2 linked regions of the Caenorhabditis elegans genome follow. The protein of the gene in region 2 purifies or fractionates together with the protein of the main gene of each other region. This does not show direct contact. Each region holds a gene or a part of one and is shown on either strand. Other genes may lie near its edges.

What was found. Proteins that work in one complex are often made in the same cells at the same time.
Region 1: the proteins of Y38F2AR.10 (region 2) and T20B3.1 fractionate together in Caenorhabditis elegans (co-fractionation; one large-scale study listed by BioGRID). This does not show direct contact.

What each region holds. Positions count from the first base shown.
Region 1 is NC_003283.11:16,813,292-16,822,892, forward strand, and holds T20B3.1 (Choline/carnitine acyltransferase domain-containing protein), read left to right. Parts: upstream 1-2,269; 5' UTR 2,270-2,285; coding exon 2,286-2,370; intron 2,371-2,418; coding exon 2,419-2,546; intron 2,547-2,992; coding exon 2,993-3,159; intron 3,160-3,215; coding exon 3,216-3,340; intron 3,341-3,887; coding exon 3,888-4,003; intron 4,004-4,050; coding exon 4,051-4,140; intron 4,141-4,187; coding exon 4,188-4,304; intron 4,305-4,354; coding exon 4,355-4,456; intron 4,457-4,575; coding exon 4,576-4,767; intron 4,768-4,818; coding exon 4,819-5,076; intron 5,077-5,122; coding exon 5,123-5,207; intron 5,208-5,250; coding exon 5,251-5,395; intron 5,396-7,010; coding exon 7,011-7,112; intron 7,113-7,160; coding exon 7,161-7,281; 3' UTR 7,282-7,400; downstream 7,401-9,601. Other genes in the region: cand-1 (Cullin-associated NEDD8-dissociated protein 1), read left to right, coding at 721-792; T20B3.14 (Neuropeptide-Like Protein), read right to left, coding at 7,401-7,516, 7,947-8,025.
Region 2 is NC_003282.8:2,394,283-2,402,452, reverse strand, and holds Y38F2AR.10 (Major sperm protein), read left to right. Parts: upstream 1-2,932; 5' UTR 2,933-3,032; coding exon 3,033-3,083; intron 3,084-3,167; coding exon 3,168-3,373; intron 3,374-3,423; coding exon 3,424-3,610; intron 3,611-3,691; exon of another isoform or gene 3,692-3,801; intron 3,802-6,085; coding exon 6,086-6,196; 3' UTR 6,197-6,212; downstream 6,213-8,170. Other genes in the region: Y38F2AR.12 (5-oxoprolinase), read left to right, coding at 569-736, 1,068-1,547, 1,863-2,182, 2,505-2,625, 2,834-2,893; eri-5 (Tudor domain-containing protein), read right to left, coding at 6,415-6,599, 7,019-7,356.

The sequences.
Region 1 (9,601 bases), on a different chromosome or scaffold from region 2:
GTCTTCACACTTTTTTAAAAATGAACATTGAAAATTGTCAAAATATGCGAAATTTTGTGCCAAAGTACGGTACCATAGGTCTCGAAACGACAATTTTTTGTAAAATACAAACGGGTGTGCGCCTTTAAGGATTACTGTGGTTTAAAACTTTTGTTACTCCGGATGAAACAAAATTTTTTATCGATTTTCATTGTTTTTCGTTGAAAAAATGAGGAAAATCGATGAAAATTCCCCCAGTAGCAACGAAAGTTTGAAATTACGGTAATCCTTATTAAAGGCACACCCGTTTGTGATCTACAAAATATTTGTCGTTTCGAGACCAGGTACCGTAGTTTTGACGCAAAATTTCGACAGAAACGCTGAAAATTGCATATATGGGGAATTCTAAAAAAAAAAGCAAAAATATAGAAATTAGGGAATTTCTGCCCAAAAACTGTCTTAAATCGTGTGCGAAAAAATAAATTCAAAATTACACGACAGTACACGGCGGCCGTCGTAAATCGACAAGATCAACCGCGCCGCAGTCGACAAAAACTACTCAAAAGACAAATTAAAATTTTCCTTTTTTTTTTTGAAAATTGAAAAATTGAAGTTTTATCAAAAATTTATCAAATTTGATGAGAATACGAAATTATTGAAAATTTGAATTTTTTTCCCGAAAAAACGGTGAAAAATCGAAAAAAAACCCAGTCCCAGTAAATAATTTGCATTCCTTTTCAGGCTCTCGCCAACGATGTGCTCAAGGAGTCTCAACGCGCGGTGGTCTACGACACTCCAATGGAAACTGCATAATTATATCGTTTTTTTTTGTGTTCCCCCCGCCCGCGCCGATAATTCTATATTTTTGTGTGTAATTATACATAGTTACAGTATATTCCCCTTTTACCCATTTTTTTTTTCGTTTTTGTCTACCGGACTTTTGAATTTTGCGTAAAAAATACGGTCTCGGTACTGTAGTTTCAAACTTTTTTCTCGGCGGGATTTTCAATGATTTCTCATGGTTCCACCACAAAAGTTTTAAATTACAGTAATTTTTAAAGGCGCACACATTTTTTTGCATGCAACAAAAATTGTCGTGCTGAGACCCGTATTTTTCGGCCAAATTTTCGCGTCTGGATAATATCAATTTCCCCTTTTCCCCTGGCTACTCTATACTGTCATCGCGAGTCGATTTCCCCACTTTTGTGTGTAATTGTATTTTATTTATTCTTTTTTTCGCCCCCCTCGCACCTTACTTCATCCAAAATTTTTTGTCCGCAAAAATTAAGATTTTTATCAATCTGAAATATTATCCTCGAGTTCTTCTGGTAAACTTTTTTCGCATTTCAACTCCACCTACCAATTCTCTGACCTTAAAAGTGCATAGTGTAGTCTACATTTGGGTACACCAACACAGAGCCTTATCACGTTTTTATGCACATTGACCCACCCCCAGCCTCTTCCCTAAATTTCACTTTTTATCAGAATTTTCAAATTTTTTTTGTTTACTAGTTTTTTACCTAGCTTTTGGAAAAGTTGGAATTTTAAGAAAAACGTTTTTTGAAATTTTCAATTTTAATTCCAAAATTAAAATTCGCCCCATAAGTGCATCCCCATTAATTGAACCCCATAATTCATTAGCGATACCCCTAGTACTACATAAATCAACGTGATAAAGGCCACAATATAGTCTGTCAGTCAGTCCCTCAACCCCTACATGACTAGTTAGAGAGGGAGAGAGAGTACGGGGAACTGTGGAGACGCAGACAACACACACACACAGGATCATCACACGCCTTCTACACGGACGAGAAAGATCGCTGCCAATTTATTTGTTTCTTTCAGCGGGACACGATTTTTGGGTTTCAATGTTTTTTTTGTTGTTTTGCAATATTTTTTCTTCTAATTTTTGAAGATTTTGGGGTACTGTAGCTCTGGAGATCGTGGCGAGACCCAAAACGATATGTGCCATTCGTGATATAAATCGAGGATAAACAAAAAATTCCATTTTTCACTGTTTTTGCCTAAGCTTGAGCTTAGAATTAAGCCTAAACCGGAGCCTAAACCTAAACCTAGCCCAAGCCTAAGACTAAATCTAAACCTAAGACTAAGTCTAAAACTAAGACTAAACCCAAGTCTAACCGAGGCCTAAGCCTCAGCCCAAGCCTAAACCTACCCATAAGCCTAAGCCTAGAAATTAGCCGGGCCTAAGGCTATTTTGAAAAATGTACAGATGCAACCGCGCTCCATTGCACTAAACACCCCACTAAATTTAAAAATATCAAATAACTTTCAGATCGTATCAAATGTCGACATTTTCGCGTCAAGACCAACTTCCGAGTCTTCCGGTTCCATCTTTAGTGGAGACTTTAGAGAAGTACATTGATTCAGGTACCCCGCGGCCGCGAGAAAACTCGGCCACCAGTTGTAATTTTTCAGCTTCGGCAATTCTGACTCCTGCCGAGAAGGCGCGTGTCGAGAAAGAAGCTCATGAATTCCAGCACTCGGAGCTCGGAGCTCAGCTGCAGTCGGCTTTAGAGAATCGAGCAAAGAATCATAAGAATTGGGTAAGAAATTGTTTTTACTCGTTGGAGATGTAAGTAGGCCGAAGCCTAGGCCTGTGCCTGAGCCTATACTTAAGCCCAAACCTAAGCCTGGGCCTATGCGCAAGCCTATGTTTAGGCCTAAACTTCAACGTTAGCCTGAGCCTAAGCCTACTTTACTAAAATAAACTTCACCCGGGCTGTCAAAGTTGAGAAAAGGTGATCGATGCACCATGAGCACACCATCTTAAAACCCTTATATCTTTCTTAATTTTGAAGATAAAACTAAAGTTTCAACTACAAAATTATAGAAATCGAAATTTTAAACAAGTTGTCAGTTTACAATTTTTTGTTAAAACCAAATTCAACCGAGATATGGCCTGCCGAAGTTGACGATTTTAAATACCTTGGCTGCTTTTTAAAATAAACCAAAAATTTTAACTAAAAAAAGCTGATCCAACAACTTACAGCTTGAGGACTGGTGGTACAACGCCTACACCGAGATCCGTGAGCCCCTGGCTCCATATGTCTCATTTGGAGCAATGAACACTGCGTACAACTGTGTGGATGGAGGACAAGTGAGCCGTGCCGCTGATGTCCTTCATCATTGGCTTAGTGTATGGGATAAAGTTCGACAGTGAGAGTTTATATTTTCTAAAAATCCTGGCATGACGAAAGAAAAATTATTTCTAGCGGAAAATGGCCAGTGACGTCATCACGCGGAGTGACGTGGGATATGCAGCAATTCCATCACTTATTCTCGTCGAATCGTACACCACAGAGGACAAGAGACACTATGGATCGGTATTTTAAGACAAGTAGGTTAATCTTCCATTTTCTATCCGGACGTGGCCTAGAAATCTAAAACCTTGGCTGTCTCTCTGCGTATCTGCTCACTAGAAATCCAGCTTCACAAAAATCTAAAAAAATCTTTCTTTTTTTTTGACATTTTTGATTCTTGGAATGCTTAAAAATTTCAGCCGCTGATTTTTATTGTTCCTATGAAAAACAGCTCAAATTTTTTAGGTGTGAAATTACGAGCAATTTGATTGCTTGCAAGAGTGTGATAAGAGTGATAAGATAATAAAACACATGTCGGCGGTGTTGACCATTACTGTGTTTTATTGTTGTCATTCCAAAGTTTGCGGGACTTTGGACTTTGCCACGTGACCGCAAAGGAAAATTTGATGGCCGAGTTTCTCATTTACGCGGCCACCAGCACAAGATAAATTAGAATGGATCAATTTTCAAATTTTCAGCAAATGTGCAAAAATGTGCAAAAATGCTTCAAAAAATGTGCAAAAACTGTGCAAAACTGTGCAAAAAATGTGCATTTTGTTCCTGTAAAATTAACTTTTTTTTCAGAAGAGGAAGGAGATACACCAACTCATGTAATTATTTGTTGTGACGGGTGTTTTTGGAAGTTAAACATTTTAAATGAGGACGATGACACCATCAAGAGCCCAGATGAGATTTATAACGTGAGCTAAAGTGCTCTAATTGTGGAGCACACATTAAATAATTACAGATGCTGAAATTCGTAAGAGACAACTCATCGGACGAGTCTTCGTGCTGTGTCAGCAAGCTTACAACTACGAATCGAGACGTTTGGAGCTTGGTAAGCTGACTTCCAGCTCATTTTTAGTCCGAAATCCTGATTTCCAGAACCGCGACGAGCTGCTCCGTGTGAGCTCAGCGAATATAGAATATGTAAGAGCAGTTGAAACGAGCATTTTGTTTCTGTCAATGGTACCAAAAAAGGGTGGAGATGATCAGCAGAAGGTTTGGGATTTCATTTTTTGCCACAGATACTAATGAAGAAATAATTCCAGCTCATGTCAAATGCTCTTCAAGACGAGAGTTGGTTTGTCTGGCAGGATAAATCAGTGAATATTACTATTTATGAAGACGCACAAGTGATGGTTCAAGGAGATGTAAGTAGGCCTGAGCCTACGCCTAAGTCTAGGCTTAAGCCTGATCCTAAGCTTTAGGCTGAGCCTAAGCCTAAGCACAAGCCCAAGCCTAAGCCTACGCCTAAACCCCACTTTTTCAGCACTCCAACATTGATGCTATAGTTCTCCTTCAAGTTGGTGACTACGTGGCTTCTCGTGTTCGAAAGCAGCTTTGGCACCCTGCCAAAACAGGATCCGACCTGCACTTTGAATTTCCGGAACGCCTAATCTTCGAGTTCAATGAGCCGCTCAGACACGCAATTTCGTTTGCAGATGTGGAGTTTTACAAGAGTGTAAGTGACTTTCCCTGTGTCTCCAGTCACTAAAAATGTTAAAAATTCCAGAAGCAACTGTACCGAGCGCGCGGCGTCCATCACCATGGGTACGGTAACGAGCTGTGCCGGACTGCCAAAGTCTACACGGATACTGTAGTTCAGTTGGCTCTTCAGTTGGCGTTTTTGAAGACTCACGGAAGCTTTGCTCCGATCTACGAGACCGCATCAACCCGTAAATTCTTCCACGGCAGAACTGAAACCGTGCGTGGGTGTACGTCGCAGTTTGTCAGATTTGCGAAGGCGCTCCTGGGAGATCAAACGGTAGCGGTAGAGCAAGATTGCATTGAAACCCTGACTAAGAAAAACTATTCAGAACGAGAAAGAGGATCTCAAGAAGCTCTTCGACTCAGCCATCAATGCTCATAACCAGCTCATGGCCGACTGTATGGATGGAAGAGGTACTGAAAATCCTTCGAAGACTTGTTAGACTAGAATTTTCAGGTTTTGACCGACATCTCATGGGTTTGAAGTTAACACTGTCCATCATGAACAAAGGATGTGGCCCAAAGCGTCAAGCACCCGAATTTTTGCGAGATGACACGTGGAAGAGGACGGGGGGAGACGGGAATTTCCTGCTTTCCACGAGGTTTGGTTTTAAATTGGATGGTATGAAAACAGATAATAAATTTAGTTTTCATGTTGCCAAAACACCTATGTTTGGCAATTAAAAACTGAACAAAAACAGTGAGCACTATAAGTCGATGCACCATAAGTCCTGGTCATGGTGCATCGACTAGAAATTAATTGTGAATTGTTCGGGTTGTCATGGTGCGTCGACGGCAATGTCACGGGGGCTGAAATATCATGGCACGGCCTCCTGGAGTGTTCATAATTATTAGAGCGCGCTCGCACGCCACCTCACAAACTCCAGAATTCGCGGGAACTCGTTTCGAGGGAACAGCAGTTTTTGGCTATTTTTGGCTTCTATGAAAATTATTTTTAATTTTTTGATTTAAAATAGTGTTTAGAAGCATCATCCGAATTGAAAATGTGTAAAATTATGAAATTTGACCGAAAACTGATGGTTTTACAGAAAGGAGTCACCACGGTTTTCTTCAAAATGTATCAGTACCGTCAGTTTTTTGATTGCAGAGTCGTAAAATATGTAATTTTATAGAGAAAAGTCTGTATCACAAAAATCCATGTTTGAAATTTTAATTCTCTAATTTATAATATAAAAATATTCAAAAAATCAACAATTTTACGTTAAAATCTTATTTTTAAAATTTTTCAGTTTTTAATACATTAAAAAAACAATTTTAAATTTTCAAGCGCAAATTTTTGTGAAACAGATTTTTCTCTACAAAATGACATATTTTACGACTCTGAAATCGAAAAACTGACGGTACTGATACATTTTAAAGAAAACCTTGCTGTAAAACCGTCCTTTCTGTAAAACCGTCAGTTTTTGGTCAAATTTCATAATTTTACACATTTTCAATTCGGATAATGCTTCTCAAGAATATCATAAATCAAAAAATTAAAAAAATTTTCATAGAAGCCTAAAATAGCAACTAACTGCTGTCCCCGCGGAACGAATTTCCGCGAATTCTGGAGTTCGTGAGGTGCCGCGCGAGCGCACTCTAATAATTATGAACACTCCACGTGCATGGTGCATCGATAAAAATGTCAAGGTGTACTGTAATGTTATGGTGCATCGACATTTAAAGTGGGACTCCTGCGTAGTAATAGCGTAGTCTTGCGTGAGCTAAAACTCCTGCGCAATGTCAAACTTCTATGTAGACCAGGGACGTGCGGCAAATTTGCCGAATTTGCCGAGCTCGGCAGATTTCGAAATTTGCCGCACACGTCAAAAATTTGACAGTACAATTTTGACCAAAACTGTTAATTTTTTCGGCAAAAATTTGGTAAAATGACACCAAATTGAGTTATTTTGATGTTTAAGCAGACACACTACACGGAACTCATTCAGCAACTAATTTTTTGTTCAGAATTCTGTAGTTTCGGTGCTCCAAAAAACATCATAAAATATCAAAATTTTCCGAGTTTGTCAAGCACGGCAAATTTGCCGAATTTGCCGAGCTCGGCAAATTTTGAGATTTGCCGCACACCCCTGATGTAGACGTACATTATGGAGTGCACCGAATTAAACACTAGGACTTTTTGCCAAAGAGCGTCATGGTGCATCGTGGCACCGACCAATTAGCTCCCTTGGTCATGGTCTAAAACTCAATTTACAGCTTCATCGGCTACATGGACGGGAATCAACCGGGAACTTTCGGCTACGTGGCTGCAATGCGACCTGACGGCTACGGTTGCTTCTATAGAATCGGCAAATCTAGGTGAGATGTCACCAAAAAAGCTTTTAGGCTAATTAAAAACCACCTCAGAATCTCCGTTGCCGTCTCCGATTGGGTCTCGTCACGATCGAATATCGACGCATTTTGTGCAAATATTTTATGGGCTCTAGACGCGTTGGCTCCATTCCTAACGCCTGCTCAGAAACTCTAAATCTGCTGTATTTTCATGTTCAAAAATTAAATTTGTAAATTAATAAAAACCAGAAAAACACATCAACTCTCATTTATTGTTTCCCAAACTCAAAAAAGCAAAAATCAACTTTAAATAAATCAATAAATGATGTATTGATCGAAATCGTTGGGTGCAATTGCGGCGATAGCTCCATCTGGATAGTAGAATCGTTTTGTTGGGGGCTTCCAGTTGGGGCGTAGGAACCAAGCGGCTCCTGGAATTTGTAAAAAAGTTATTATGCTGAAAATATGTGACGTCACTATAGAAAACTAGTATTGCGCCAAGACACTATATTTGCAATTGGTCAAAGCTCTGGAAATTTATTTTTAATGTGAATTAGGATGCAAATCATCAAAGATTTCAAATTTACTAATCTCATTATTGGAGCAAAGATTCTTGCTCCTGAACTTGCGTCCGAAAGCCGGCAAAACTTTTCTGGAAAAAAAAAACCTACGCCTGCCTTCACCTACATAGTTGGCTACTTTCAAAGGAATTCAGTTGAAATTAAGGAAATTCTTCAATCTGGCCTATATCTAATTTTTGATGTCAAGCTAGAAACAGAGAATAGGTGCTAGGCAGGCTCGTAGGTAGGCATGAATAAATGGCATGAAGGCATCATTTGGCGCCTGCACATAAATACGTACCTCTCTTCTCCAATGTAAATTGAACGGTTACATGAACAATGGCAAGCACAACCAAAAGGACCAAAAGTATACGGAGCATGTTTCTGCAAAATTTTTGATTTTTTGTCAAATGAGAGAACGTGCAAAAAGTTTAAAAACTATTGAGCCCTCCAGGGGGCTCAAGAGGTCTCAAGTGTGAAAGATGGGAAGGCAAAGGGAGAAAAGAGGGCGTGGTTTAATGTTGAGCAATGATGACGTCATAGGGAAGAAGAAGCAACTGGAAGAGGAGATTAGAAGACAGAAGGGGAATGAGTGATTTGTGGGGGGTTTGACTTGACAGAGAAGGCACAATGAATCTTGTTTCTAGCAAGCTTCCGTCAGGCATGTCGTGCAATGCCTACCTACCTACAAGGCGCCTACGCCTGCCTGGTACCTCTTCAACGCCTGCTTCATGCGTACCCTATGCTTGCTTTCAGCCTATCCGACGTCTGCCTCATGCCAAAGCATGACCTGCCTTACGCCTACTCTATGCCTGCTTCTTGCCTACTCTAGGCCCACCCTTTGCCCTATAAGTGCCTCATACCTATTGTCTATCTCACGCTTACGTTTCAACTGGTTCATGCCTACCTACGCCCGCTGCAAGCCTACCTACGCTAATCTATCCTAGGCATACCTCATGCCCGGTAAGTAGGCAGGCAGGCAGGCAGGCACAAACCGATTTTTGAACAATTGATACAATTTAGTTGAAACAAAATAATTTTTGGATGCGAAAAAAAAACACCCGCCAAAATTAATTGAATTTTAAAGTCCCGCTAGTCTGGGGGCGGGAAATGGTCAGGCCCATCTTGATGAGTACATAATTTGCTCTAAAAATAAGACAGACATCAAGCATATCATACCAAAGTAGAAAATATGAAGAAAAATTTAATAATTATAATTTCCAGCCAAAATATTTTCAGACACATTTTTTTGTATCCGAACGAAAACTCGTCCAAAAAAAACTAAATTCCCCCCTAATAAATGTTCATTTACCGCCTGAAAGCGTTCGACTTCAAAAAAATGGGAACACTTCCTGACATTTATCTAGTCTATTTCCCAAAACAAGCAAAAAAACACTCAATTTGTTCCCGTGCCTGAAAAAACGAAGAAGAAGCCAAATAGAGTTCAAGCTCGTATTTCTTTTTGAAATTGAAATAAAATGTATCAAATGAAGCCACAAAATATTTATGTCACACAGATTTTTTGATGTAAAACAGGAAGAGATCTATTTGAAGACATAACCGGGCAGAAAACTATGAAATTTTGTGGGTTTCTGTTTCAAAAATTTGGATTTTTTCTCGGTATCAGAAAAGGATTAATTCTAAATTTGGAATTTTATGCATTCTGTTGATGACTAATTAGCGTTCAGATAATTCAGAGAAACGTTGGAAAGTTGAAAATTGCTGAAAAAATCAAAAAATCGCCAGGAAAAATTACAGACAATTTTCAACTTTCAGACAATTGTTAGAAACTTTTCTGTTTTTTCAAATCAAGCTAAAGGTATTTTCAGATGAGATTTTTCTTTGTTTTATCATTAAATTTTAATGAAAAACACTGTGAGAACCCCACACTGGATTAGTTTTTTTGTTGGTAATTTCAAAAAAATCACGGGGTGTCAGGCTGTCCCATATCTTCTC
Region 2 (8,170 bases):
GAAGGTTCCTAGGAGGGCCTGGAGGATCCTGATAGGGCTTGGAAGGATCGGAAGAATACGTTTAGGATCCTAGAGATCACAGCAGGAGTCTAGGCGGAGTTGAAAGTTCAGAGAAGGAGCTGAAGAAGCCTAGTAGGAATTGAAAAAAACTTAGATAGACATGAAGGATCATAAATGTTATGAAAGGATTTCAGTAAGGCCTAGTGGATTAGAAAACAAGTTGGAAGATCCTGGAGTGAATGAAAGGATTTCCATGAAATTGGACGGAATCTAGGTAAATACTGAAAGATCCTAGTATGAATTGAAAGATTCTATTAGAGCTTTGAAGGATCGGAAGACGAAATGAAATATCCTAGGCAAAGCGAAAAGATCCTAGAAGACGCTGAAGGAACCTAGTTAAAAGTGGAAGGATCTTTAATGTAAATTAGAGGATTCCTGTGAGATTTGAGGGAACCTAGCTTGATATTATAGGGTCCTAATAGAAATTGGATCCCACTAGGAGTGTGGAGTTTCATGTGAAAATTTTAGAATCTAACCTAGATTTTGCTAAAAATTTATAAATTTCCAGGAAGGAGCTTCATTCATCTCCTTCAAACTAGTGGATGAAGGAGTTTTCCAAGAGCAGCGCCTAATCGATGCTCTTAAAGCCCCTGGAAAAGTGCCCGGATGCTCGGCGGCCAGAAATATCAGTGACAATATTGCCGACTTGAATGCACAGATCGCTGCCAATCGGAAGGTAATTTTTTGGTAATCTACCATTGCTCTACTTTGGCAGCTTATATCTCGGTTGTCTTTGATGTTATCAAAAAAATTTCAACTAACAAAATATTTAATATTTCTTTTTGCATAAGTTTGCATTTGATCACTTCTTGATAGCTTCAAATCTGGCAGAGATATAAACTGTCAAAGTTTGGACGACATGATGCTGACGATCAACTTCAAAAGCCTTTATCTCGACCAGCTTAGGTATAACCAAGAAATAGTCGAATAGCTAAAAAAGTTTTTAGATGTTTTCTGTACTTTTGTAGATCAATTTTTTTTTGATTACATCATGTGAAATTTTCCAGGGAATCCAACTAGTTACAAGTCTCATCGAGGAATACTCCCTTGACGTTGTGCACGCGTACATGCAACATATCCAAAACACTGCTGAGCTTTGTGTCAGGGAAATGCTCAAAAAAGTTGGACGGAAGGTTCTGGAGAAAACCGGCAAAAGTCAGCTATCTGGGGAAGACTTTATGGATGATGGAACAGTGATCAAGCTGACTGTAGATATCGATTCAGAGGAGGGTACTGCGATTTTCGACTTCACGGGTACTGGTCCAGAGTCGTATAGCTCTTGTAATGCTCCGAGAGCAGTCACCATGTCGGCGGTCACTTATTGTTTGAGATGTCTTGTCGAGAAGGATATCCCGCTGAATAACGGATGCTTGGCGCCGATTCAGATAAAGATCCCCGAGGGAACACTGCTGTCGCCGTCGGAAACTGCCCCGGTTGTAGCTGGAAATGTGCTGACTAGCCAGAGACTTTGTGATGTCATTTTTAAGGTGGGAAATTTGATTATCGATTTTTAGGAGACATAAAAATTATTGAAAATTATCGATTTTTAATATTCCCAAAAAATTATCGAATTTATCTTTTTTTGAAAGTTTTTGCCGGTAATTATCGATTTCTGTGGAGTTTGTATCGGATTTTTTTTTTTTGGAATTCTATTGTCGATTTTTCGGAACTATTATAATTTTTTTAAACTCAACAATTTTTCAACAAAAAATCAACAATTTTTAAAAATAAATTCGAAACAATTTCGAAAAAAATTATCGATTTCTTCCAAAATTCTAAACTAAAATTATCGATTTATCTAGACATTTGACATTGTCGCCGCCAGTCAAGGATGCATGAACAACTTGGTGTTCGGCGACGAGACTTGCGGTTACTACGAGACGATTGCCGGCGGTGCCGGCGCCGGCAACGGGTTCCACGGACGAAGTGGAGTGCATACGCACATGACGAACACAAGAATCACGGATCCTGAGATTTTGGAGAACAGGTTCCCGGTGATACTTCGGGAATGGAAATTGAGAGATGGATCCGGTGGAAGTGGAAAATGGGAGGGCGGTGATGGAGTTGTGAGGCAGTTGGAGTTTACGAGAAAGCTCACATTGAGTCTGCTGACTGAGAGACGGTAAGTGCGCTCCATTGAAACGAAAAACACTTGATTATGAAGATTTTCAAGCTAAAAATTAAAAATTCAAATTTTGCGCCGACCGCTTGTTACTAGTGCGCTCCATTGAGAAATTAGCTGATTTTATGATTTTTTACGACGATCATTTCAGAAGAACTTTGAACGTTTTTGAGCAGGCAATTCAAGTTTCGCCGACTGCACGTTGTATGTGTGCTCCAATAAGAAACCCATAGATTTGGATGATCTTTGAGCTTAAAATTTGAAGTTCGCATCGAGCGCGTGTTGCTATCGCGCTCTACTGATTGATTTGTTGGTTTTTCAGCGCATTCCAACCGTATGGGCTTCACGGCGGTCAGCCCGGACAACGAGGTCTGAATTTGCTGAAACGAGGTGGAAGAGCTGTAAATATTGGGTCGAAAGCGAGTTTTGAAATTCAAAAAGGGGTGAGTTTAGCGGGAAAATCGATATTTTACTGGAAACTTGAAAAATCGATAGTTTTTGCAATTTTTTTCCGAAAAACTCCAAAGTAAATTCCCAATTTTACTCCTGAAATAACGTTCAATAAATCGATAATTAATTCCAAAAAAAAAAAACCAAATTCGATTTTTGACGAATTGTTTTGAAAAAATCGATAATTTTTCAAATTTTCAGGATATTTTATGCATCGAAACTCCGGGTGGCGGTGGTTACGGAGCTCCTGAGAACTCATAATTATTGATTTTTTATACAATTTTCTTTTTTTTTTTTGTAAAAAATTTAAATTTAAATAAACGTTAAAATCTAAGTATTTGTTTTTTCCTTCATTTCTTTTCCTTTATTCTAAAAAATCGATAATTCCAATCATTTCTCAATGGATAGCGATGTGGAATTGAAAAATGTGCACTTTAATCCGTCGGAATCGGTGAGTTTTAAAGTTCTATCGATTTTTCTCAATGGAGCGCCGTTGCGGTGTTACGGAAACTCGAAATTTTTGTCAATTATCCAGGTAACATTCGACGCGGAACCACGAAAACAAGAAATTCCAATCGAAATTCAAAACAATGAATCAATGGATCTTCTGGTGAAATTTAAATCCACACGGTCCGGGATTTTCAACACATTGCCCACTTTTGCAATTGTTAAAGCCGGAAATTCGATGAAATTTGAGCTAATTTGCGAGGGTATCGATAGGGAAAAAGTTAGCAGAGACAGGTGGGAGAGAAAATCAATAATTTTGAACAAAAAAATCGATAATTTTCCAGATTCTCAATCATAGTTTCCGGCATCAAACCAACGGTACTCGCCGCCAAACAAATTTGGAAAAATTACAAGAATCGCGAGGAACTATTGATTGGAAAAATACACAAAAAGATGATTTTCATCAAATTTTCAGGAATCAATGAGACCGATTGGTGGAATAAGAGTATCTTCGGTGAACCGGAGACTAAGGTAACAAATTCGCGGTCAAAAATTGAAAAAAAAAATCCCATTTTTCCATCTTATACCTGAAGACTTATACTGCCTAAGTTGAAGCCTACCCTAGCCAGCCCCTAGGCAGCCCTAGCCAGCCCCTAGGCAGCCAGCCCCTAGGCAGCCCTAGCCAGCCCCCTAGGCAGCCCTAGCCAGCCCCCTAGGCAGACCTACCCTACCATAGGCAGCCCTAGCCTACCCTTGGCAGACCTAGCCTACCCTAGGCAGCCCTAGCCTACCCTAGGCAGCCCTAGCCTACCCTAAGCAGCCCTAGCCTACCCTAGGCAGCCCTAGCCAGCCCCTAGGCAGCCCTAGCCAGCCCCTAGGCAGCCCTAGGCAGCCCTAGCCAGCCCTAGCCAGCCCCTAGCCTACCCTATGCAGCCCTAGCCTACCCTAGGCAGACTTAGCCTACCCTAGGCAGACTTAGCCTACCCTAGGCAGACTTAGCCTACCCTAGGCAGCCCTAGCTTACCCTAGGCAGACTTAGCCTACCCTAGGCAGACTTAGCCTACCCTAGGCAGACTTAGCCTACCCTAGGCAGCCCTAGCCTATCCTAGGCAGACCTAGCCTATCCTAGGCAGACCTAGCCCGCAAGCCCCGAAGCTCGAGTTGGGTTAGAGAACATTCGAACGTGCGGTTTTACCCGGCTCCCTCAAACTTAGCGAGGGTCGAAGACATGCGGCACCCAACAACGACCGCCCAAAATTCACCGATAGCCCAGGAAGCACCCGAAGGCTTGAGGGAGAGAGTTAGTTGGCCCTCCGCCAGGCCAGAGATTCGCTTTCGCAGGACCCTGACAGACCCAAAAATTCACCGATAACCCAGGAAGCACCCGAAGGCTTGAGGGAGAGAGTTAGTTGGCCCTCCGCCAGGCCAGAGATTCGCTTTCGCAGGACCCTGACAGACCCAAAAATTCACCGATAACCCAGGAAGCACCCGAAGGCTTGAGGGAGAGAGTTAGTTGGCCCTCCGCCAGGCCAGAGATTCGCTTTCGCAGGACCCTGACAGACCCAAAAATTCACCGATAACCCAGGAAGCACCCGAAGGCTTGAGGGAGAGAGTTAGTTGGCCCTCCGCCAGGCCAGAGATTCGCTTTCGCAGGACCCTGACAGACCCAAAAATTCACCGATAACCCAGGAAGCACCCGAAGGCTTGAGGGAGAGAGTTAGTTGGCCCTCCGCCAGGCCAGAGATTCGCTTTCGCAGGACCCTGACAGACCCAAAAATTCACCGATAACCCAGGAAGCACCCGAAGGCTTGAGGGAGAGAGTTAGTTGGCCCTCCGCCAGGCCAGAGATTCGCTTTCGCAGGACCCTGACAGACCCAAAAATTCACCGATAACCCAGGAAGCACCCGAAGGCTTAAGGGAGAGAGTTAGCTGGCCCTCCGTCAGGCCAGAGATTTGCTTTCGCAGGTCCCTGGCAGATCCCAAAAATTCACCGATAACCCAGGAAGCACCCGAAGGCTTGAGGGAGAGAGTTAGTTGGCCCTCCGCCAGGCCAGAGATTCGCTTTCGCAGGACCCTGACAGATAGTGGGACAACAATATGAAGGGAGGTCATCTTCTGGATATACGGACAACTCACGGGTTCCGCTAGTTGCAGTGGAAAGAATGCAGGTTACTGGGAACACCTATCGATCGTAGAAGAGACGAGCGAGGACGATATGCACGTCATCGCCTCCCCCGTCATGACGGGAAAGGCGAACCGCAAACGGGAAAACGGTGTATATATCGATCGAGCTTTTTTTTCCAAAATAGGGAATTTCTCTATTTTAATTCATTTCAGTGGATGGGGTAAAACATATGGAACCTATAATAGAGCACCCAGACATAAAACAAGTGGCGAATTGAGCCATCGTTGCCGAAAAAACTATTCGCCGACAGAGCCGGAAATGGCAAAAAAATGCCAGAGTGTTCATGAATATTGTCCAGAAGCCTTGAGAAATCCAGAGAGAAAACTGCAATTTTTAGATCTAGAATTTTATTTTCAATTTTTTGTAGTTTCCCAAGCCTAACCGATTTTAATAAAATATAAGAAACCCTCTTAAAAAGTCTACAAGAAGGTTTTTCCTTGCGCTTGGAGCGCAAAAGAAAAGAAAAAGGGTTATTTAGACTTAGGAACAAACCCAATTTGAATAAATCATAGGAAATCCCCAATCCGACAAGCCTAAGGGCCCGAATCCTAGTATGTTTTTCGGGCCCTTAGGCTTGTCGGATTGGGGGGATTTCCTATGATTTATTCAAATTGGGTTTGTTCCTAACAAGGGAAGTATTTCAACTTAATCCCGGTTTGGTTGTCGAGTTGGTTGTCGAGAGCTCACGCTCGTCACTGACACCAAGCCTAAGCCCTAAGCCTGACTCAGCCTAAGCCCAAGCCTAAACCTACGCCTGGTCAAAATTTTCAAAATTTTCACTAAAAGTATTTATTTTCTACCAAAAAATCGATAATTTCCAGATCCCAACATTCGTAATCCAGCCACAACAATCCGATGACCCACTTTCGGAAGATATGAAAACTACGCTAATCGCTGGAAAATACACGTGTCTGCTTGTTCCATTGGAATAAATATTGATTTATTGATTTTTATCGTAAAAAATCGATAATTTAACACGTTCACGTAAAACAAACAGATCGTTAAAACGAGGAGGAGATCGATATTATAAAATACATGACAAAAAACAGGAAAAAATTATGTTATCGATTTTGTACTCCTCTCGGGCAAGTGGATTATCGATTTTTTTTTTGCAATTTTTCACGGGAGAAATGCGAAAAAATCAATAAAATCATCCGCTATCCTTATCGTCGCTAACATTTCCATCATCATCATCCTCTTTCTGGGTACGTAAATCGTCGGATCGTTCAGTGAAAAACGGCGACGGCGACGGGATTTTATCGAGCAAATTTTCGTCGTCTTCGTCGCCGGCGACCCGAATCTGCGAGAATTGCAGTTTGCCGGTTTCCAGGAATTCTGAAATGATTGGAAAATTATTGATTTTTACGATGCTCCGATATATTCCGCACATGGGAATTATCGATTTTTGACGAAAATTCGCGCGAATTAGCTATGGAGCGCATTTTCCCCTGAAAATCGATCGAATTGTTCCGCAGGAGAATTTTTGTCAATGGAGCGCATTTGGGACACGAGGCCGCCGGCGCGGGAAATTTGAAATTTTGCAAAATCGGCGAAATCCCATGAAAATTTCGAATTTTTCAGTTAAAAAACCAAAATTTCAGGTGTTCTCGGCGCGAAATTTGAATTTTTGAGTTAAATAGTGAAGTTTTGGTAAAATTCTGTGATTTCGGGTAAAATTATCAATGGAGCGCACAGGAACATGCAAAAATTGCATTTTTGTCGCTTTTCCAGAGAGAAATCCGTAAATTTCTCACCCATATCGGGTCCGACAACGATCGGCACGTCATAGGGTACAATTTCACGCCAAAAATGTGTATTCCACTCCATTTCGCTGTCGGCCATCGATAAATCGTCGTCGAGAAATCGGCCAATTTCAATGCAAGCCGGCGCGATTTTTGTGTGCTCAATGTGCATTCGGTGCAAATTTTTGAGCTTCAGGATGCCACGTGTTCCCAGATCCACGTAGCGAAGAGCCACGTTGGCGTTCGGCAAAAAATCGATAATCTCGCAACGGAGCCATTGAGCCGACGATTTTTGGCGATTTTTGATGGTTGCCATCACGTAGGTTCGGCCGGTTTGGAGGGCGAATTTTCTGGAAAAAATTTAAATAGAAAAATCGGTTTTTCGCTGGTGAAAATGCGCTCTATTGAGAAAAACTTCAAAAAATCGATTTTTGGCGGAAAATTCAATTTTTTCGCTGTTGAAAATGCGCTCTATTGAGAAAAACTTCAAAAAATCGATTTTTGGCGGAAAATTCAATTTTTTCGCTGTTGAAAATGCGCTCTATTGAGAAAAACTTCAAAAAATCGATTTTTGGCGAAAAATTCAAATTTTTCGCTGGTGAAAATGCGCTCTATTGAGAAAAACTTCAAAACATCGATTTTTTGCGGAAAATTCAAATTTTTCGCTGGTGTAATCGCGCTCTGTTGAGAAAAACTTCAAAAAATCGATTTTTGGCGAAAAATTCAATTTTTTCGCTGTTGAAAATGCGCTCTATTGAGAAAAACTTCAAAAAATCGATTTTTGGCGAAAAATTCAAATTTTTCGCTGGTGAAAATGCGCTCTATTGAGAAAAACTTCAAAACATCGATTTTTTGCGGAAAATTCAAATTTTTCGCTGGTGTAATCGCGCTCTGTTGAGAAAAACTTCAAAAAATCGATTTTTGGCGAAAAATTCAATTTTTTCGCTGTTGAAAATGCGCTCTATTGAGAAAAACTTCAAAAAATCGATTTTTGGCGAAAAATTCAAATTTTTCGCTGGTGAAAATGCGCTCTATTGAGAAAAACTTCAAAACATCGATTTTTTGCGGAAAATTCAAATTTTTCGCTGTTGAAAATGCGCTCTATTGAGAAAAAAGCAAAAACATCGATTTTTAGCGGAAAATTCAATTTTTCACTGTTGAAAG